3 linked regions of the Oryzias latipes genome follow. The protein of the gene in region 3 interacts with the protein of the main gene of each other region in a biochemical or structural test. Links are inferred from orthologs where the notes say so. Each region holds a gene or a part of one and is shown on either strand. Other genes may lie near its edges.

Region 1 (7,695 bases), on a different chromosome or scaffold from region 3:
CACCCTACTTGTCTTGTTTTTTAAAGCTTCAACAGAATCCTATGAGTGCTGTGGGAAAGCCCGTGTAGAAACCCCCAAGATGTAAATGAAAAAAAAAAATCCCTCAAGTGAATTTCTCAGAACGGACTTGAGAAATCCATATTGTTTTTCTACGACTGACTCTCCTTTGCTTCCTCTGTGAGAATGTGGCTTTTGGTGTCTGACATGTGCGGAGAAACCGGCACAGGAAGCGTTGTGCTGAGCGGTTGCTTTGGGTGGGCAAAAAAAAATGAGAAAGCAAGAAAAAAAAAACCAAGTAACTGTAAACATCTCTTGAGTGTCCCACCCTGCTTAGCGTGTGTCTAGACTGGACTCGTACAGTCATAACAGGGGATTGGGAGAGCAAACAAGGCTGTTTGGCGTAGTTAACCATTAGTGTATGGAGTAACAGTCTCAAAGCAAAACCTCGACATTTAATTGGGGTAAAACAAGGAGCTCACAGAGCAGCGTACAATTACAAGATATACGAGGAGACAGAGTTGATTGTGCGCCAGAATGCTGAACGTGCCACACACCAGAAGATCATCTCACCAGATTGGCACAGAGCAAAGGACCTGCAACCGTCACAAGGCACGGTGCCAAGGCCGTTGGCCTACTTATGAGCCATTCTCTTGTCAGCGTCAAGCCAAGAAAAGCAAACACACAAATACATCCCCTTAAACTAGCGCTTGGTATGCGATAGGAAACGTTTGAGCAAATGTGTTTCAGTTTGGATCATCAATGATCATGCGACTGCACTTCAGCGCATCAGCCATCAGCACAAGTGGACAACGGAGCCAAGGGAGCTGCTTTAAGAGGCAGGCTGGCTGAAAAAGTGAGCAATCAGCTAACACTATTTTTACCACACTGCGCTCATTGCCTCCACCCTTTTTTACACATGATGCTGCTAAAGATGCCCGTGTTGACAATATGGAGATGACATTCCCCACATGACCTCAATCAAGCATTTTCACAGCCTGGAGGCACAAAACAATTTAACAAACTCAGCCACCGCTGAGGAACTCTTCATCCTCGTTTCATAAACAAAAGCAGTTCTAATAGAGAGGTCCTTTTTCTGTTGGTAAAACTATTTTAGATCAGATATTATGAGTCAGTAACACTTTGTAGACCATTTACAGTGCTGCAAAAGCGAATATTGGTAAAATGTTGTTTTTTTTCCTAGCCTAAGCTGTAAATATTTGGATTACATTAGTCCTTCTTATCTCCTTTCATGTCAAACGAATGTCATTTGCTCAGCTAATATTTGACAAACTGTAAATCTAATTTGCATATCACATCCTGACGCGTCAGATCTGATATAAGCTGACGAGTAATGCACCGTTTCTGCAAACCAGCAGAGAACGGTAATTAACACCTTTATGTCAATCCCTCTCTCAGCAGAGGCACAAAGCTTTCAGAGTGGAAAGGTTGACTGCCAGCAGAACTGAATGAGATCTCAAAAAGGGTAAAAAAAAAAAATCATAAATATTGCAGCTGGTTAAACATCACTCCACGCTTACAAAGAGAACCGAAGTTTCCTTTCACCTGCAGATTAGGCACAAGCCGGCTCTTCGCCGCCTGAGGGAAAAGCTATGCAATGAATGGAAAAGCAGGTCACACTTCTATCCAAGCTCTTCTTTTTTATTGATCCTCAATCCTCCCCCCCCACCCCTTCACAATGACCCCCTTCCTCCCCTCCAATCTTGACCACAAACAAATGGCACAACATAAACAACCAATAAATAAAAAATCTGCATGATTAAGGCAGTTCTACATCTCCATTAGAACACAACAGTGCGGAAATGTCCGAGTTATACAACTTCATACAGTAAAGCAGTAGATCTTTTTTTTTTTTTTGAGAAGAAACACATCTAAAAAAGGCAACACTTTAGGAAAAAGTGAACCATTTTTGTTTGGATGACTTTGTGATAAAAAATAAAAACTAAAAGAAAACAAGGCTAGTTCAGATAGGACTGTTATTTGAGCTCATTTCAATACTAACCCAAACAGAATTGGGGGGGGGGGGGGGCTTGTTAGCAGAGAACTTGTATATATACGATTTCTCCCCAAAGCTACTCTCAGAAAAGATAACAAAACCACTTAGATCCCAAAACACATGAGGTGGCTCTTCCTTATATCAGTTTTCTTGGATAGGAATAAATAAATACACCTTTTGACTGTAAAACTGTCCAGACTTAGAGGCTACATAGTGTCATAGAATTATTCAGCGTAGCTTTTAACAGTTTCAGCATTTCTTTATTACATTCGTTTCCAGGAACTATGAGAAAAGGAACTTGGCCACAAAAAGACGCAGGAGACTCGAGCATTTTGTGCGTTCACTCTGGAGATCCGGAGTTCTTCTCTGTGCACTCTGCTCTCCAACTTTCACTCCGTTGTACAGGTCCCTGCTCTCGACGTAAAAGCCAAAAAGAGATCATCTCTTCCTCCATCCTGGATTTGTGACCCTCTTCTTCTTGGTTTGTCCCCCCATTTTACAAAATAAAAGTCCTTTTAGCAACTGACTGTGCTGGGTTGCTGTTTGCTGACAAAGTCTGAGATAAAGTCAAACTCGTTCTGGCCCAGGAAGAGTTCTGGCAGCTCCTGGACCCTGTCCAAGCCCAGCTCCATGACCAGTGACGTCAGGACATCTTCGTCAATCATGTCTGCATCCATGCCGTTCAAGGCCAGAGCTGGACCGGCCATGTGCTGCATGCTGGCTAGCTGAGCCTGGCTCATGCGATACTGGGTTGTTTGTCCCATGTGGTTCACGCTCATAGGAGCCAGTGGATGTCCATGATACTGCGTGTTGAGTTTCTGCAACTGCATGCTAGCCATGAGTTGCTGAGATGTTAGCCCCCCATTCATGAACTGCTGCTGCTGCTGCTGTTGCTGCTGGGGGTGCTGGGCTTGCTGCTGGTGCTGCTGTGGATGAATGTGATGCTGCTGCTGTTGAGGGTGGTGCTGTTGCTGAGGCTGCCCGTTGTACATCATGTTGTTGGAGGTCATCTGATGGTGTCCCATCTGAGCTCCGTTCAGCTGTCCATTCATGGGCCCGCCCACCATTCCTTGCCGCTGCCTCATGGCATTCTCCATGTTGGCCTGAGCGCCTCCATAGTGCATCATCTGCCCATTGGGCATCGCCCGCATGCCCTGCTGGTTGGCGTGCTGCTGGTGACCTGCCTGCAGGCTGCCATTCATGCCCATCCTATAACCGTGGAGACTGGCGCCTGCTGAGCTGTGATTCATGGGCATCATCAGATGATCTGCCATGCCTCCTGTGTGTCCAGAAGAAACACAATTAGGTCAATGTCCAACTTCTGCAGAAAAAACATATTTACCAGGGTGAGCTGTCTTCTTTAGTAAACTTCAATAAAATAAAATATAGAAAGTTTGAAACGTTGTTTTCTCTCTTCGTGCTGCTGAAATCGTCTTTGGAACCAAACATCTGCAGGGTTGTGATACCTCCTGGCGAACACTAGAAACCCTCGCCAGTGTGTTGAGTCTTCCTGAACCCTCCCCTCATTGTGCCAGAGCATGAACGCCCAGCGTGAGATTACAGGTTCCATGCATGCATTGTTTGTGTACATTTTGACGCGTAAATTTACGCACGGCGAGAAATGACCAACCACCCCCTCTCCCCTCCCAAATAAATAAATAAAAATTAAACATCCGCCAGCATCCTGGAAATGTACCCGCGGCGGTTCCCTGACAGCTGAGGCAGAAATATCCAACATTTTCCGCTGCAACAAAGAACACTGACATCATGCAACATCAACCCCGCAGCTGAATTCCAACAATTGAATCCACACTCCCGATTTTACTTATTAAATAAACGGGATCGTTTGGATTCGGTGGTGTCCCCGCAGGACGATGAGTGGGATTTTTTTAAAGCAAGGTTCCGCAAACAATGGAGCAGCAGCAGGAGCCCCTGAGACCACCGCGGAGCAATACGTCTCCAAAAAAAAAGGCAACCAAAATCACTCACCCGTGTCGTTTTTACAAAGTTACGCGACTTTGCTTCACCTCGCGCTTTCTCCACACAAACGTCCTCCACGGAGGGGTGAAGCTCCTCTGAATTAGGGTTTATATTCCACGGGGGTCTGCTTCATGCTCAGGCGGGGACGGTGCGCACTACGACCGCCGCGTCAGATCTTGAAACGACTGCCTATTTTCTGGGTCAACTCAGGGATTATGTACATCTAAAAAGCTCTGAGGAAGGCAGTCAGGGAGGGGTGGAGCTTCGGCCCTGCCTCTCCTTTGTTCCTATTGGCCCTACTTAATACAATTGTGCATGGGCGTAAAGGAAAAGGGGCCGTTGGAGGGTTGGAGCGCAAAGTTAATTTTAATTACTTGTTTCAAAATAGAACATTTGAAACGTATCCAAATATGTCAGCATGACTAATACATTTTTTTCTCATGGAGTAGACATTTTGCCAGATTGTCTGAATACACTCATGTTCTCATTGCACATGCATTACAAGGTTATTACCTTGGAATTTGCACTTGCAAAGTCGCTGTGATACCTGTCTGCAAATGCAGCCCACCAGTCTGCAGTCCTCTGTGATTCCTTGTAAGCAACGCAGTGGAATGTGGCCTCTCCAGCTGCAAGTGCAGCTCCTGCTGTGCATGTGTGCTTATTCACCTTATTTACTTGTGGAACCGTGCATGTATCTCCATGCGTGTGTGTGTGTGTGTGTGTGTGTACATCTGTGTGCACCCACTGTTCACTCTTGTCTAGATTGGCCACTTCAGGACAATGACTTCTTACCCATTAATGAATGCATCCACTTTGGGGGAGCAAGCTGATCTATTGTCAGAGTACCAGGCAGTTGTGATTGTGAGACATTGTCCAAAAGCAAATGTTTAAAAGTCACTCCCTGTTGAGAAAACTTTTGAAAAAAGAAAAAAAAAACTGAGCTAGTCAGTCAGCGCAAACAAAACCCAGAATCAACAGAAGTTTGTGCTGGGATCAGCAATCTTTTTGTAGAACCAAGAGAGTGCACGACTGCACAAGCTCGAGGTAATATAACAGTGAAGCACTTTAGAATGCATTAAAACAGCCTTTATTTTCATCCCAGGGCCAATCTTCCTAATGGCGTGCCTTGCATCTGGAGCTCACCAATCAAATCCCAGCATCTGCTTAAAATACAGAGATATTTGCATAAAACCCCAATCAGCCATGATTATGGCTGAAAATATAGAATATAATTATGCTTCCATTCCAGCTTGTGTTTTTTTTTTATTAGGTAAAATGTCTGTTAGTCTGTCCTTTTAAAACTCTTTCTTTTTTAGATTTATTCTCATGTCTGGCTGTGCTCACTGCTATAGGGGAAAGTCGTCGCAAACCTTCTTTAGGCTTTTATTGATTTTCATCCTTACTTTAGTGTGTGCATGTGGGGCTGCATGTCAGCAAGAAAGAACACACAAGAGTTCATGTGACTGTGTGTGTAGGTGCAATAGGCTTTAAGTATTTAAAGCTAATCTGCACCACACTGTAAAGCATGCATTATGCTCTTCTGGGTTTGCAGGAGCAAAAGACTTCAGACCTGTAAGATATTAACTCACCCAGACAAAACAAAGCAAGGAAATATGCAGAATGTAGTTGTCAGTTTAGGCAGTCGAGAAACTGATTGTTTGGCTAGCAATGCTGGATTTCCTTTTTAGCATAAAATAAATATTAGTAAATAATTGGGAAAGAGGAGTTCTTTTCTACCGTCATCCCTAAAACTCTATAACCATGGAGTCCAAGTCGAGAAGTTTATGTTTGTTTTTTTGAAAGCACTTTTTTTTAGAACAAACTTCAATGGTGCAAAAAGTTAACAAAATTCCACATTATTAAACGTCTTTTTTATTTCTTCTTAGGTAAGGCGATTAGGTAATTTAACGTAAAAGTGCACATGTAACTTTGGAGCCACCTTTTTTTTAAATTAATTTTTGTTTTTTCTTCCTAAAGTCCCTCTCTGATCATCCGTCTATCCGTCTGTACGGTTTTGAGCCAGATGCCAACTAAGACGAGGAAAACAAAGACGTACGTGGATTGATTTGTCTGCCAGGGGATTTATCAGAATGGAGCGGAGCAGGGGGCTTGTGGCCTGCCCAGTGTATTATCATACTGTATTTTTTGTCTGCTCCTGTTTTACAATAGTTTGAATAAAGAAATACTAAGATAAGCAATTTTAGGCTTAATTATTTTATGTCCTCCATCGTCAGCAAAATGCTTGCAACTTTATAAATAATCTTAATGTTTGGTTTTTTGTAAATTACACTTTCAAACTATTAAATAAAAGAGTGACTTTAGTCCTGTCAGGAGTTTTTGTTGTGGTTTTTGTAATCCAGATTGAGAAAGATGTAAGAATATTATTGCACTCAATTGAATTTCTAAAGAGTAGCTCTGACAGCTAATGATATGTGCATTTATCCATTTTTTCACACATATATGGAGGTCAAATCTGACCAGAGGAATGCAGACTCAGATTGAGTTGAAATGTGGTTTGATGTGTAAAACATCAGTTATGATTACATTTCCTGTAGATGTCCCAATTTGCATGTCAATCTACCATGACTTGTGAACAAGCCTCATAGATGTTAAATTTCCTCCAGATAACACAGCACCTGATTCCCTAAACGAAGAAGAAAGTCCACCATTTTTGACTGAATAGTATGACCTCAGACTTGAAGGAGCCAATTCTCATTCCAACTGGTTCAAACTTGTAGCAAACATCCAAGGTGCCTTCTGGAAATTTTCACTCGACGAAGGGACCATTAACGGAGAGACGGAATTTTGTGCTGATGTACCGTAAAAAACATTTCTTACCCCCACCTCATTCCCTTTTCTATCCATAAAAATGCTTAGAACTATTAATGGACAATGTCCGATGAATTGTGTATTATCAGTTATTAGCGGAGAATGCAGAAGCCAACACCATCCCCTTCTTATTGTCGAACACTCCAGAAAGAAATATGTATTCAATCATCTTTTATTAAATTTCTCTGTTTATTTTTGGTTCTTTTTTTTCTACACAAAGCATGCTACTTGATATGTTGGACAGCACTTTGTCAGAGATAAAGTTCACCTCTTACCACTTCTTTTTTGTGTGCCAAAAACAAATCGAAATTTTGAAGAGAAATCACCCATTTGGGGTCTGGAATATAAAAGTTTGTTTCAAAGAAAAATTTTTTAAAGTTTAAACAGTTCAGCTGTTCTTTATGTCTTATTTTCTCCTTTTAGATCCTTGTCCCCCTTTCTCCTCTCCTTCAAAATGACCAAATTAACCAAATAGGTAAAAGTAAACTATAAAATCACTGGTCTTTTCTACCGTCTTGCTGTTGTAATAAACCGTGGAATAAGGTATGGCAACCTATGTTTTTTATTTTTATTATTTGTGAAGAAAATGTTAATAACACAAACTTGCGTTTAGGCTAGCACACAGATATAGAACATTTGGGTTATGTGTCCGAAACTTCTTTTTTAGGTGTGGTATAACTTATTTTAATCCACATCCAGCTGCTAATCATAATGGAGTATTTACCCGGACCATGGTATTTTGGTCATTGATTAAGTGCAGCCCTCAACTGAGTCCTGGCTCCAGATGTTTCTGTTTTACTTCTGATAATGTGAGCTAAATTTCTGATCTGGTTGCAAAGACCCTTATAGAGGTACCAACACCATGTGATGAA
Region 2 (7,552 bases), on a different chromosome or scaffold from region 3:
CAGGCTTTTTTGTTGTTCAGGTGAGATCCAGCACAAAAGCATTAGAAGTCATTCTTTGGTGAAGAGGCAAAGCTGTGAGCAGAGACAGGCGTAGCGTTGCCATGTGTCACTTTAAGCACACTAATAGCGTCTGCATTTGAACCTAGAGGCACAGTTTTCATCCGGATAAGGTCATACATTAATTCATACATTTCATTAGCAGTTACTACAACCAGGAGAGGGAAATTCTGACTCTATGTGAGACCTCCATGTGGGTTTGGATTTAAAATCAAGCAGATATCTGGGTTTCTACATGTCAAGCCAGCAAACATTTCAAACTGTGCAGAAATGTAGCGGAATAATCCTTTGGAAAAAAAAAAACTAGAACAGAGCTGTTATCTTTTACTCCGCTGCATCACAGACACCAGACATCAATAATCTTATTACCTGGGTCAAAAAATGCAATCAAGATAAGCATTCTTGATCTTTAGAGGGGGGGGGGGGGGTCATTTTAATCAGGACCCATGTGCAGGTGGGGTTCGGTCCAATACCTGCAGAGGTGCAGGTCAGGGGGGCAAACCTCTGATTCTTAGCTAAACTGGAAGCTCCATGCAAATTTGCGTGATGACCTACTTCTTCCACACAGACACTGATAAAATCCATAAATTAAGGAAATTAACTGATGGGGCCCGGGGCCACTTTGTAAGCTATTTAAATCTTTAAATTTACAACATCCCTGCATACTTCATGTAATTGAACTAACTCCAGGCTTGTTTCCTTTAATGAGAAAAAAAATCTAGTTTCCCCTCCAGTTTGGACCCCTGGTAACAACAAATCTCTGCCAGGGGGGAAGATGGGAGCGCTCTGAGGCACGCAGGGGTCTCTCTAATTATGAAAACTTGCCCTGCTTCAAGGAGAGACACGTCCTCACACTCCCATCCATCTCTGCTGGTAAATATCAGGAGTATTTTTTTAACTGGGTGACTTCAAGCAATTTCAATGGTTGAAAATCGATACTTCAATGGAAAAATGGACACATGAGGACCAATATCAAAGCCGGATCTAGGCATGGCATAGGGGGGAGTGGCCCCTCAATGCAATATACCTCCCAAAACGTGATGGCCCACAATAATCTTCAATTAACCACAAAAAAACTCACAAAAATAAACACAAAAAAACCTCTAAAAAAACAGAAAATAAAAATAAAATGAAAGAAAAAAAAATGTGTGGACGACATAAAGATAGACTAACATAAAAAGAAAATAAATGCAGCCTCAAAAGGGCACCGAAGACCAGTGTCCTGCTTGTGCCTGTCCCAAGTCTGGAAATTGCAGAGGGTATAGTGTCAGGAAGGGCATTCAATATAAACCTTGTGAAAAAGTAAATATGTCAAAGGAGAAGATACATATGTGGATAGATGGACTGATATGTGACAGTGTGGTTTTCTGTGCATTTTAAGGACTTAGTGATATGACACCCCAAACTTCCAGCACTTGACTCGTCCCCTGATATTCTACTTGCACCCCATAGAGAGGCTGGCTAAATCCGGGCCTGATCAATGCCCTGAAAGAAAAAGAAAAAAAGGTTAAAAGTGCAACATAAGAAAGAAAAACTTGCATATGCATAAAAAATGCAGTCAATAATTTTACCAAATAACCAAAAAGAGCCATGTAAAAGCTATGGACCAATAACAAGTTCCTACACTGGTTGGCGCCAAATGCCAAGAAACGAGCGTCAGGCCTCTCTCACGAAGCCGGTACAGGATAATTACCGGGCTCAATGTTGCATCAATTATTCACAGTTATTTACCCGCAAATAAACAAACACTCAAATAAATAAATAATGTCTCCTCGGTGTGAGCACCTGCTTCTCCCCTCTGCAAAAGTGGCGCAACACTTGTGCGCCGCGCCGCTTGCATTGTGTCGCCCTGCTGCTAGAAAATAACAATAATCATGCCACAATCTTCCTCTCCAAAAGTCCGGAGGCTGCCTGCTTTCACCGGGGAGTGAGGAGGAGGAGGGAGAGGAGGAGGAGGAGGTGGATTGGGGGGGGGGGGGGGTGCTCTGTACAGATATCTCCATCTAAGCCCTGCGCTATAATTGAAATGGCGCATTTGGCTGCAGGCAGGTTGTGAGGGCGCTTTCTGCAGCAGCATGCATGCATGTCCATAGACGTCATTTGATTTTTAATGGCCTGCAGGAAATTTGGCGGTGCAACTCCAGACATTAAGGCAAAGGATAGAGGGAGAGGAGAAGAGAGCGAGGGCACGACGGAGAAAAAGCCCCACGTTTAAGATACTCATGGATTTTTCCTTTTTTTTTTAAACATATATTTTTTCTTTGACTACGACTTTATCAACAAGTTATTGCGCCTTTTGTGATCCGCCGCCTGAGTGAAGGATATGGCTGCCTAAACTTCAAATTCAGGCTGAAGATGCATTCCTTCTAACCGGACTGCTTTGGAATTATGAGAAGAAATGTCAATCATTAAAATCTACATCTAAATCTGGCAACTAATAGATGCCTATCAGGCTCCCGCCCCCCTCAGAATCCTAACTTTGAACCTTCAGAATGAGCGGTCTACTTTTGCCCTAAAAAGCCAAAAAAAACTTATTGTATCTGTGTAGCCATAATTTCTGGAATAGGGGAGTATCACGTTCTCTTCCTTGAGAAAATTGCCAGGGCGAGAGAGTGGAGTTGAGCTAATTGTAGCCTAATCCCTGGCCCAGAGGCGCCTGGGCAGCCCGGAGCAAGAATTTTCTTTTTTAGCTCCGCTCTGTTATTTAGAGAAGGATTATTGGCTTTCTTCCTCTCATAACAAACCACAGGGGCAGTTTCATTTAGGCAAAAAAGACAGACAAGAGGCAGAAAAACGAAGCAGGACTCCGGCAAGAGCGCACATTTTACGCGTATCCAAATAAGAGCAGAGAAGGGGAAGGAGATCATCTCATCTATGTTCAAGGTAAGGACGCTTCCTGTGCGCTTTGGTACAAAGACGCTTGGTGAGGACAGGTCGAGCCAGCCTTGCGATAGAGCCTTTAAAGCTACAGAGACTCTTTGAAAGCAGTCGATCCCGGCCACATCCCAGTGTCTTATAGAAAGCTACTTTCTGCGGGATTCGGACGGAATATTTTTTCGTGCAGCAGAGGCTATAGGCTCGTGTTGGAGCTGGATGGCGGCGTAGTTTTGACAGAAACTCGTTTGGAGAAAAAATTGAGGGTTAAACGCGGACAGCAGCTGCGACTGACCGCCGGCACGGATTTCATCTGGACTCCCTACAATGTTTGAAACGGTAGGGTGGCTGCTTATTATCACAGAAATCACTGGTTTTTACGCAGAGCGCAGGCTGCTCCGCAGGGATTTTAGGAGAACAGTTGAAGAGGACTGTCCGGGCTTTCGCTGGACCTTACGGGGGTCTCCTTATCCTCTGCTGAACGATTTTCACACGTTTAGCTTTAAGTTACACATGTGGGACTGTTTTTTTTTCCCTTACAGCGGGAATAAGACGCCATATTGAGCTTTTTTTTAGATTAGACAAGAGACAGAGCGGGCTGGTGCCGTTCGACGAGCGGAACGGACCTTTTATGTTTGTTTTGTCATAATGATTAGTACTGCCTTTTCACGGGGGGAACTGTGTGGATTTCATTGATCAGGAGTGAAGGGGGCAGACAGGGTCAGAGGCTGTGGAGATAAAGTTGATGCCTTTATATCAGATTTTGTGGCGGAATGTGTTTTATTGTGTGATTCATTGCCCGTGTTCCTGGTGCGTCTGTGAGGGAGGGGGCTCATGGAGAAATGGCAGAAATAGTGATGCAGTTTTTTAAGGACAGTGATGCATTCAAATACACGAATGTGCTTTGTGTGTGTGTTTTTTGATGAACTGGTTGTGTGGGCTAGAGGGGGCAGAAAGGCGCACCGACGGTGGGACGGACCCGGGTGTGTTTGTGACCAAAACTTTATTTGAGCTCCTCTAAGTTTTTTTCATTTCCCTTTTTTATTACAGTTTTCATGGGATTTGAAATGTAATCCCTCCTGCCTGTAATCACTTTAAAAGAACACGATACCACTCTGAGGAAGTAGAGGGGAAAAGCCCCACTTTGAGCCCTGTGGCTCCTCTCTCAGCGCCGCGGGCGTCATCTGTACTTTCACAAATGCCATCACTTAAGTAAATAAGCCCACATTTTCTAAAACAGCCTTACTTGTGAAAATGTTTGCTTTTTGCTTAGTTTTGACCAAAAAATGTTTCTAAGGTGGATCTGTGTCTGTTATCATGGTTTTAAATTAAGTGGAGTTTAATTTGGAAATCTGAGGCCAAATTCAGGTAGTAGTGGACGTATAATCTCTGTTGGCTAAAATTACGCACCTGCAGGATGGACGTATGAGCTCAAATAGTTATAAAAATTGTTTTGCAAAAACACAACCAGTTAGACGAAACAAGCTCATCGCGGATTTCTGAGTGTTCCCGGTGACCCCAGAGCAGCAGCACGTTGGGTTATTGGAGTATGGGAGAGGAGGTTCACGGAGAAGAGCACTTATTGTTTTGGCCTGTGGCAACGCGCTCGTTTTTGTCTCTGAGCTCCGGTGCGTTTTTACCCACGTTTGGAGTGCACGCGCTAAGGACGATTGCACAAACTCCAAATGTGCGCACGTTTGGAGCCCATGCAATCGTTCTCAGCGTAGTCACACGACGGGAGAACACCTAATCCTTGAGTGTCTGAGTGTGTTTGGGGGTATTTGTGTGCGTTGCGGAGGAAAGTTGCGCCCTCTCTTCCCGCTCACAGATTGGAGCTTGGCGTGTCTGGGCGCATCACGTCTAACACATAAGGCGACCTTTAATTAGAATATTGCAGTAGCAGTTTATTTTATCTCCCTGGAGGCTGACACCTAGCATCGCCCACCCCCGCCCTCACCTCCTCTCCCTTCCCATCTCCCTCTCTCTCACCCATGTTCTCTAATAAGCATCCTCCTATCCTCGCCTGCGGTCCTGCATGAAAAGATGCAAACATACTTAATTAGAGCGGTGACAATAATTTCCAGGCTAAATATGCGACCAGACAGACATGGAAGTGATCTGATGCCATTCAGAGAGGATACCATCTACTTCCCTGTCTAGAATCACAGTTCAGACTTTTTTTTCCCCTCCTCATCCTTGACTTGCATTCCCATGGCTTTCCTCTACACCTGCTTTCAGGAGGGAAGAAGCATGTCACGACTGTCTCTGACCCGGTCCCCGGTCTCTCCTCTGGCCGCCCAGGGGATCCCTCTGCCGGCTCAGCTGACCAAAGCGAACGCCCCCGTGCACATCGACGTCGGGGGACACATGTACACCAGCAGCCTGGCGACCCTCACCAAGTACCCGGACTCCAGGTAGGACGACTTTCTTTCACACTCTATTGTATTTATTATTATTATAAATATGTTTAAATGAAGCATTAAAAATGAAGGCAATCCCACAGTTATCCTATATCCCAAATCCCTTCTTGCAGACCACAATGTTCTCTTAATCTCCACTTTCCAAGATCTAAAGTTATGATAGTTTTTGATTTATTAGTGACTAAAGTTTGTTGATAAACAGCTTGCAGGCTTTTATGCATCCTTCCAGAGGTGTAAATTAAGATTTCAACTGCTGCACATGTTTCTCTGCTGAAGGCTCTGAAAGTCTTTGTGGGAATTTACAGTATATGGAATTTTTATTCTTTTTTTTTTTTTTTTGCAATGAACTCCAATCCTTTCGCAAGTTTTTCAACTTTTTTTGTTGTCAGTGGATCTGAGTGCTGTGAGGAATCCTTGGAGAAAAAAACAATGATGTAAAGATTTGAAATCATTTCATCACATCTGCTGTAGGACAGCTTCAAATGTGATTGAAGTCCAGTTCATTGGCGGGTTACATATTGACTTTCTTTTCAGCTCCAGCTTTAAGCACTTTTTTCTCTTGAACATCTTCTTTATTTTGGGGACATATTCCTTATTTTGTATTTAAATTAGTTTAAAACTGACCTCCTGTCCTGTTAGAATTATAAAGACTTTTGATTCTTTACAATGTGACAGAAAAGTCCCCATCATTCTGATCGACCTCCAGTTGTGAGATTTTATGATCCTGATTGATAAAAATCCCAAATCATACCTTTTTCAAAGAAATCCTTTTTTTGTCCACATATATTCTCAAAAGAAGAAGAAATCTCAAACTTCTGTCCCGGCTGAATTGCATTATCTCCCTGAAGCGTTCATGTCTAATGTATCATTCATGATATTACAGTGAATCCCATGTGGGCCAAAGTAAACGAACATAAGAAAATCAGCCAAACTGGCTACAGGAAACAGTCCATGTATTCCACTAGTAATAAAATCTTGATCGTCCACTGACGGGAAATCCCTGACAGCTCTGGCTTTGATACCAACACACCATGAGAAAAGTGAGTTTAACTCATAGGAAGGATTTAAGTTGATTTGGATCAGACGTTCTGGCCACCAAAGGTTATCTTAGGTCACCTCTGATTTTTTTTTTTGCTTGTTTGTTTGATTAAGTGCCATTTCCATCACTATGTATGCTTTTTCTGCAATCTTTCTTTCTCTTTCCATGGCTTTATTTTTAACAAAGAAGTTATTGAAAGAGCGGGCTCACAGGGCGCCGCGCACATGCCGCATAGAGCAACGTCAGAGCATCCAAACAGTGTTTTCACAGAAAAAGGCCGGATATCGGTGTCGGTTGGAGCGCTCTTTCCCTCTTCTCTCTTTTTCACACATGCTCCTTTGCTCTTTCTTTCTCTCTTCTTGTCTCCCTCTTTCTGTCTCTTGCTGTTTCTTTCCCACTCTTGATCACACACACAAACACACACCAACGCACACACACTGCTTCTCCCACACTCCCAGCCGCCTCAGCGTACACTCGCCCTCCGGGCTCCACTTTCCACTGAAGCCAGTGGAAGGAGGGGCCCTTTTGTGTGAATTAGGATAATGGCTGACAGCAGAAAGCAAAACAATTACACTGGCATAACCATGTGTGCCGCGTTCAGACACATCCGGTCGAGCAGGGCACGCAGGAAAAAAGCAGAAGAAGAAGTGACAACCAAAAGGAGAAGTTAAAGAGTTTGAAGCCGCTGATTACTTTTAATAGATCGGTCCTTAAATAATGCAGGATGCCAAGAGAAAGTTAGTCTAGTAACTAATGTGTGCTCATTCATCTTCTTCTGTGTGGGCCATATTAAGGGACAGGGGTCATAAAACATTGATGTGCACTCTGTGTAGCTCTCAAAGAGGACAGTCTCGGCACTCGACGAGAAGCTGAGGAAATTAGGGCAAATGTTTCTGAGACAAAGAAACTGTTTGAAAGGACCATTTTGCTCTTTTGGAGGATTCTGTTGTGAACAAGATCTAATAGATTTGCTCCAGTTCTGCAGTTCAGAAGTTTCTTCTTTTGGAAAAAGAAGTTAGTCTGGCATCAAGGGTTTGTTGTAAGAAAAAGTGGATATTTTATTTTTATTATATTGTCTGAATTTTAAGGCTTTTCTTAACCTCCTGACTGTCAGCAGTGCAAATTTGTCCTCTTTAGAGGACATTTCTGTACTTGAATATCC
Region 3 (7,755 bases):
GAGGTTGATTGAGGCAGAAAGAGAGGAAGAAAGAACCGTGCTCAGTAAATTTCATGCAATGCAGAGCTTTAACTAAATGAAATAGGGGGCGGGTCGTTCATTCCATTTTAAGGTATTTTTTTTACTTTAAGCAACAAAATCCTAAAGCAACCACAATATATATGTGTAATTGTGTTTATAGTATTGATAATGTATTATTACTTTTAGTGTGCATTTTTTGTTGCAAATATGTCCAAAAAAGCGCATTGCGCAGAGGAAGAACTGCGCATTTTTCACGCAAAAAACTCTGCAACCTAGGAGATTCATTCGAGATTATTTTGACATATCTACGGCTTCCTGCAAAATCCCGCCGCCGCCTGCGTGTGGATTTCACACCGGCAGAGCGATCGTGAGGGGGAGGAGGGAGGCTCAGCACAGCCGGGCCTTGCGCCGTTTCGGTGTGCAGTAACCGGAGACAAAGGGGGACTGCGCGCCTTTGGATAGATCACTTGTGACATTAATGGCTCAAGGGAGCCTAATAGAGACAATAGGAGCTAAACGAACTCTTGAGATTACTAATATAGGAAGCCAATTATCATGTTGATGTGCAGATAGACGAACTCGGGTTAAAAAAAGATGAAAAATGGATTACAAACAGAAAGAAAAAAAAATCGTCTCACATCTCAGCTGCAGAGGTCTAATTCAACCTGACACAACGCTTTTGAACAACAGGCCTCCTTATGTTGCATCACCAACAGCATAAATCTCAGGGTTAGGGACAAAAAATACATTTTAAAAAGAAATAACCAAACAAGCTTGATCAAAGCAAACTAAATATAAATAAAATTGCATTTCGGGATATGAGCCTGTCACTTTTCCATATCCAGTTTCTGATTCCCTCCCTAAATGACAGTTTATCATCTTGCACACTCGGTCTGCGCTCCATCCAGCAATCCCAGCTTCCATTTTAGATTTGGCCATGCTGCGTGATTGCAGCTATTGCCTCCTAAGTGCCATCATCGTCTATGGGCCTGTACCTTTGACCATCCAAAGCACGAGCCGACAAAGCTCCCCAGCTCCACTCATCTCCCCGCTGCGCCGAAACGCTGACAATAAATTCCATCAGCGAGGGGGAGAAAAGGTGCAGCCAGTTTGATGCACTTGGAAACCATGTAATGAAAAATAGGCTACTGCGTATTAGGATCAGTCAGGCATTACCGCATCGGGTTCTTTCAAGCAGAATAGGGAACGGAGTGTGTGTTGTTGGTGTATCTAAGACGTGTGCAGCTTGGAAAAAAAAACATGCATGATATCTCAGAGGAAATATCTTACCTTTTTTAATTACAGTCTGGTCTGGAATGTGAATTCCTTGATCCTCAGGCTGTGACACAAAAACATCAAATCAATTTTTGGTGCGCAAAGCCACGAAAAGTCAGCCATACTTGTGCGTAAAGGCATCTCAGGACGAACAAAGCCAAACACAATTAGCAGCCAATGTTTCCCGTTTTCTCTGGGCCAATTTCTCTTATTATTGTCCACCGGTGCTTTTCAGCGGGTGGACGTGCAGACTTAAATAACGAAGCAGTGTCGTCCCATAATCCTGACCCAATTTCGCCTTTAGATTGGCTCTTCTCATAAGGAAACCTCTAATCTAGATTGGATAGTAATTACGCCAGCGCAGCCTATTAAAGGCCTATGAACTAATTAGAGAATTATTGGTGTTTGTTTCTGATTAAACACTGGGAGGGGAAAAAAAGAAAGAGGCTTATTGACAATATCAGAGCAGCACAACTCAATACAGTAAACTCGATTTTCTTGTTAGAAAGCATGTAATGTATTACAACGCTGTTGTTCGCGTGGAAGCTGCACTTTGTGAAACGCTGAGCTCTAATACAAAATGACATACTTAGAAAATCCAACGAAAATCGACTTTAACATGACCAATTCCATTTGTTTAGCTATAAAATAATATCAAAATCATCCAAACTGACAAGCATTCCGTTTTAAAATTAAATAAAATTAAAAAAAATATTTTTAGTTTAATAGAAATGGCATTTTTTTGAAAAAAATAGTTAATTAAAATAATTTATTCGTGCTCTGTTAGAAAAAATTTCCATTAAAAAAACTTAAATATGATAATACATATTTTAATTCAGATGCAGGCGTGTTGCAGGATAAATTAATACCACAATGAAAGATATGGTGTTGTGTAATAGACTTTTTAAAAAAATCAACAAAAATAAATGAATAAAAAAGAAGAAGGAGCGCAGCCTCACCTGAACGTCATCTAAAGGGTGAGGTATTCCATGGATTTGGATAGAGTCCGACAGTCCTGTATCGATGCCGTGGCCGGACGGTAGAAGCACTTCCCTGCGGTACTCCCGGCACAACTGGTGTGGCAGGCTGCGGTGCTGGTGCAGCAGGCCGCTCTCCTGGCCCTGCCTCTGCCCCGGCCAGCCCGGGTGCTGCGACTGCGGCTGGGCGTGCAGGGAGTTCAGGGAGTAAGGGTCGTTGACGTGCGAGTACGGGTCCTGAGACTGCGGGTAGATGGGCTGGTAGGGCGGTGGGAAGTACGGGGGCTGGAAGTCTGAGTTCGGCGTGTGGGAGAGTGGAGGGGCGCTCGTGTACGGACTCTGGCCCACGCCGCCCAGCTGAGGTAGCCTGGCTGTCCCATTGCTGGTGCCGTCGTGACGGTCCTGGCAGGTGGGGACAGAACAAAAGGATGTTTTTAGTCGAGATGAATTTTAAATGAATTTGGTTTGATGCTGTTTGGATGCTCTGCGGGCTTTTTTATCAGAGATTATGACCTGGAAGTATGAGCATTAGTAGATTTTTTTACAGACAAATATCAAAATTTAATTTGCAAAGAAAACACATTTCCTAAGAATTAGTGGCCCTAAAAGACTCAAATACAACAATATATTTTTTAGAAATCAATTTACATCTGAGAACAAATCAATGGGTGTAGATAAATCCAAATTTCTATACATTTTTTTAGATTATTCTGAATTTTTTTACTTTAAAGATAAAATTTATAAAATAAAATGTTTTTGAAAACGCAAAAAATACAGTGAAGCTCCAGAAACTTACCATCGCGGAAAAACTGTGCACTAACATCTGTAAGGGTTTTTTTGGTGCGCCTCAACAGAAAGAGAAAAACCCAGCAGCAATCAGGTCAAAAACACGGACTTCGCGGGGCAAAATCAGCCAGCAAAAGAAAGGAGAAAAAAGCCCCCCGAGAAGACTCTTCTCTCCTGCACGATCGCGATGGCCCCGGAGATCAGATATGTGCCTCAACAGCAGGACGATAATCCATCAGAAGTAAAAGGTAAGATCCGAGGCGCCCCTCATTTGCGTCTACAAAATCAGGAGGGGTGTAAAAATAAAAAAATAATAAAAAAAATAATAAAAAGACGCGGCGCTGCTGGTGGATTTGGGCTAAAAAAGTTTCTCTTGGCAGCCCCTCTCTTCTCTGCGTTCCCCCGGCTTCTATCACAGTGCTACCGTCCCCTCGCTTGAGCTCATATTAGCCAAAAGAGCCGCTTCTCCCTCTTGGACTCCTAATGGAACGCATTCGTGACCATTAATATTACAGGAATCCTAAATAATAAGGAAAGAATGGTCGGAAATCTGGCGTGAAGCAGAGGACGCAACTCAAGGCAGGAGTCTACGCTTAAATGACGTCCATTGAAAGGAGGAATCAGTATATCTAATCAGGGATGGGGAGGGAGAGAGAAAGAGGGAGAGGGGAGTGGAGACAAAAAAGAGGGACATTCACTCGCCTGGCGAATCAGAGAGAGGGGGAGGAGGAGGAGGGAGCGCATTTGGAAATAGTTCCAGGGCCAAAGCGCAAAAGTGAAAGAAAGACAGGAATGAAAGGAGGCAGACGGAGCGAGAGGAGGAAATAATGTGCACCTCTGAAGTTGGTGAAAATCCGGCAGGAGAAGCACCGATCGACTCATTCCGACCGTCTGCCCCTTTGTTTTCTGCCTCAGACACGGAGCCGTCCTCCATGGTTCTCTCCTGCTTTCGATTCCACTGATTTTAATCCAACCAGTTCTTCTTCGGCTCTAAGTCACGGAACAGCGCGGGCAAGCTTTAACTTTAACCCGGAAAGACGAGGGAAAACAAAATTACGCTCTAAGATCGGTCCGTTGGATCAGGCGCATTAACGAACTTTTAACGCACGGCTTCCAAAGATTCACTTCCTTCCTTATCTCCAAAATCACCTAACAATGAGCCATTACCAGACTTCAAATGCTAATCTAAACATTATTTTGATCAAAGGAGGAAATAACAAAAAATAAGTAAATAAAAATATGTTCACACAAACGTCAATTTATTTTCTGTTTGATCAGCTCTGTCCGTTCCCATGTAAGACGCGAGTGCGTACAAGAACCCCACAAAAAATAAAAAAAAACTCGTTTGACTGGCTTCTCCACCCTCAAACAAGCCACCGATATGTCTGCTAAACTTTGACTATGTCCAAAACAATGATCAGGCAATGTGCGCTGCGCACAAAGATGCACGCAGACACTTCACACGCACATTTTCACAAGTCCAACTCGCATAGTGAAGGGGACATGTGGATGTCATTTAATCATTAAATAAAACTGACTGCACCAAGCTTTTACGCGCGTAACTCCTTTAAAATGGTAAGTGCATGTTAACATTTGTATGTATGCACGTGTCATTATTTAAATATGAAGTAATTTGTACTAAAAAACGAACATTGTTTTTATTAGTAATACTTTTTATTGTGTTTTTAATATTTTATAATTTATATAAATCAATGAAAAATCTATTTTGTAATTTCTGCATTTAATAAGTTTGATTTAGAAAAGTGAAACACCTTTTTTTAAATTTTACTTTAAAAAAATGCAGACAAAATTCTAAAATAATTGGAAAAGTTGTTCTTACCTCGCAATCTTCATACTTAATGTTATCAGTTAATTTCCAGAGCATTTTCATGGGACGTTGAGGTGGCTTTTGAGTATCACCTTAGTCTTGTTTTCACTCGGTGAATTGTGCTCCCCCGCTCAGAAAAAACTACTTTTATTGAAGCTGCGAGCTGCTGTCTGTCTCGCGCTCTGAGGTCTCCCTCTAATGGTGAAAGTGAAGGGCTGGAGCAGTTCTGGAACAACGCTGGCATAAGGGCCTCATTAGCATATCAACAGCAGTTCTGATTCCCCCTCATCTGCACGCACAAACACCACTGGACAGGTAAAAGTCTCCAGCTCCTTTGTTGTTTCTGCTGCGCGGTGAGGTGTGTTCGCCCGTGGAAGGGAGGGGATGTGGAAACCTGCACCTGGGACTGTCGTTTTGTATCTTAACATATAGCAAATATTTTTTTATTTATTTAAATTATTCAAGAAAAATGTGGATAAATCCTTAAGGCCACATTTAAAGAAATACATTTCAATTGCTGGATTTGCTCTGAAGTTAATCACCCAAATTTCACGTTGATCATTTATTTGTTACTCCCCCTTAAACTGATGTGTTATTTTAATCCCATTGAGTTGAGATCTTCACAGGCTTTCCTGACAATGTTATGTAAAAGAAAAAGTCAGCTTTTCCAACTACAGGTCCATTGACTACCTGTAAGGTAGCGAGGTTTTGGGTAGGAGGGGGGTGTCAATAATTAACACAACAACAAGGCCTTGTTTCATTTGAATGAGCGGCCGGGGGGGAGCCTGGCTCTGCCCTGTCGCCGGTCGAGCCTGCACCTCAGCAGGTCGTGGGTCAGCAGACAGGTCGCCAGCTCTGCAAAGGCGTTGGCTCTTTCTTGCCTGAAACCCAGATTACCATTTTTGGTGGAGTAACTCTTTTTTTTTCTTCTTCTTCCCTTCTCAGTCAGTTGTTATTAATGAGTCTGAGGCGATGAAAGCGATTGACCGAATGAAACCAGAAACGATTCTTGGGTTGTTTCAGCTTCTCACTTGACAGAAATACAAGGACAGTTGTTTGGTAAAATCTGCAGATTCAGACCGGAGAGGTCAGATATCCGTGTGCGCACCGGACCTGGGGCAGCCAGGAATTAAAGGCGAAAAGTTACATTTGCGTCTGGATACAAACTCAAACCTGCAAATTATAATTTAAAAACTAAACAATTTCAGTTCAATTCAATTTTATTTATATAGTCCAATACTAAAACAATAGTCGTCTCAATGGGCTTCATACCGGTAATTGAATAATAAACATGAAATCATAAAGAACATGAAGTAATAGAATTCAATAATGGCTAAACTAAACAGACTGGGCTAAACTGGGAAAAGAAAAAAAATTCAAAAGATAAAAAATATTTTTCAGTCCTTCCTACCAAGCATTATTAATTAATCAGCGAAATTTGTTTTTTAAATGTTTTCTTGGATCAAATTCTTGCTGATTTTCACAGATAAAGCAACTTTAACACTCTCAAATGATAGATCATTTTCTTTTTTCTGAAGAGATCTCTCACATCCAGCTCCGTGTTCAAACAAGCAAACAAGTTGACAGTTCATATAGATTTGTTCAGTTTTTTCTTCTTGTCTTGAAAGTGAAGTCACACATACCTGCCATTCCCCTATTTCCCCCATAATTGACATTCTTTGTCTTCTTCTGCGTTTTCTGTTTTGTATTGAGCTGCTCCTCTCATTAAGCCTCCGGTCCCAAAGTAAACCTTTACTTTTCACCTAGAACCAATCGTCTTACCTGTCCATGAAAGAAAAGAAAAAAATGGTGCGGGGCATACCTGGTGACGCATGCGCAATCCAAACCGGGTGTGGATACATAAAAAATAAAAAATAAATACAACTAAAGTGGCGTACCTGAGGAAAAGTGAAAAAGGCCCTGTGGGTCTGCTTTTCTGACTCACAGCCTATAATCTTTTTATTGCAGCACTTTTTAAATCAGAAAAGCAAATGAATAATGCCATACATTTGCAGATACATTAGAAATGAGTGTTGTTGTTGGTTAATTTAATTTACAATGATAATGTATTGGAAAACATTTAAAATACACTAAAAATAAGGTGAAACAAAATCATAAATATTTCAATTTAATAGGGATAAAACTGAAAATTTACGTATATATTTAATTGTCCATACATTATGAAAGTAAAGCATGAACTCTTACTGCAAATGAATGTGTCGACTTAAAAAAAGAAATAAAAACTTGAAGGTTACCTCTCAGCATCAGCTCCTACAGGAAGATGCTCTGCTTTTGTTGGGGATCATTTTTTATTTATCAACTGTTTATTTCTAATACATACTTACCTCAGGCCAAGAGCGAATGAGCTCTACCCCTCTCATCCGCGCACTTTACACGCACACGTGAAGCTGAGCAACATGTGCGCGTGCACATAGGTGACATCCGTGAAAGCTTCTTTTAGTCCAAAAAACTTTTCTTTTTTTTGTCCATTGAGGTTTTTGAAGAAAAGCACAGAGAAACAGACACAAAGATGGCTACAGCAGCGAGCACGATGATCCCGCTGCTGTCACATGAATGAAATCCTCGCAGCATTGTAGTTTTAAAATTAATACTCCGATTTCAACTTTTTGTTTGTTTTTATCTCCCCTTTTTTTTCCCTACACATGCAGAATTCCGCGAGGAGTCAATAGATTTTCTTCTTTTCGGTGTTAATATTTAAAAACAAGCCTTTAAGTTTGACTTCAAAGGCAAGCTGTGTTTTAACTGCGCGCAGTACCTGCAGCCATAAGGACCTGGACAAAGAAGAGCTTTCACAGGAGGGGAGGTGTGTGTGCGTGTATGTGTGTGCGTGTGGTGGGGGGCAGAATT

What was found. The genes of interacting proteins can lie anywhere in the genome.
Region 1: the proteins of tfap2a (region 3) and cbp/p300-interacting transactivator 3 form a complex in vitro, tested with the Homo sapiens proteins (2 studies listed by BioGRID, with this or other methods). The link is inferred for Oryzias latipes from reciprocal best matches to the Homo sapiens genes TFAP2A and CITED2.
Region 2: the proteins of tfap2a (region 3) and kctd15 form a complex in vitro, tested with the Homo sapiens proteins (2 studies listed by BioGRID, with this or other methods). The link is inferred for Oryzias latipes from reciprocal best matches to the Homo sapiens genes TFAP2A and KCTD15.

What each region holds. Positions count from the first base shown.
Region 1 is NC_019874.2:22,627,818-22,635,512, reverse strand, and holds cbp/p300-interacting transactivator 3, read right to left. Parts: upstream 4,221-7,695; 5' UTR 4,004-4,220; intron 3,294-4,003; 5' UTR 3,289-3,293; coding exon 2,530-3,288; 3' UTR 1,862-2,529; downstream 1-1,861. UniProt on the Homo sapiens protein: Transcriptional coactivator of the p300/CBP-mediated transcription complex. Acts as a bridge, linking TFAP2 transcription factors and the p300/CBP transcriptional coactivator complex in order to stimulate TFAP2-mediated transcriptional activation.
Region 2 is NC_019861.2:30,681,713-30,689,264, reverse strand, and holds the start of kctd15 (BTB/POZ domain-containing protein KCTD15), read left to right. Parts: upstream 1-3,332; 5' UTR 3,333-5,142; coding exon 5,143-5,345; intron 5,346-7,552. UniProt on the Homo sapiens protein: During embryonic development, it is involved in neural crest formation. Inhibits AP2 transcriptional activity by interaction with its activation domain.
Region 3 is NC_019878.2:13,123,600-13,131,354, forward strand, and holds the start of tfap2a (transcription factor AP-2-alpha), read right to left. Parts: upstream 5,187-7,755; 5' UTR 4,951-5,186; coding exon 4,900-4,950; intron 3,710-4,899; exon of another isoform or gene 3,097-3,709; coding exon of another isoform or gene 3,070-3,096; intron 2,676-3,069; coding exon 2,256-2,675; intron 1,361-2,255; coding exon 1,312-1,360; intron 1-1,311.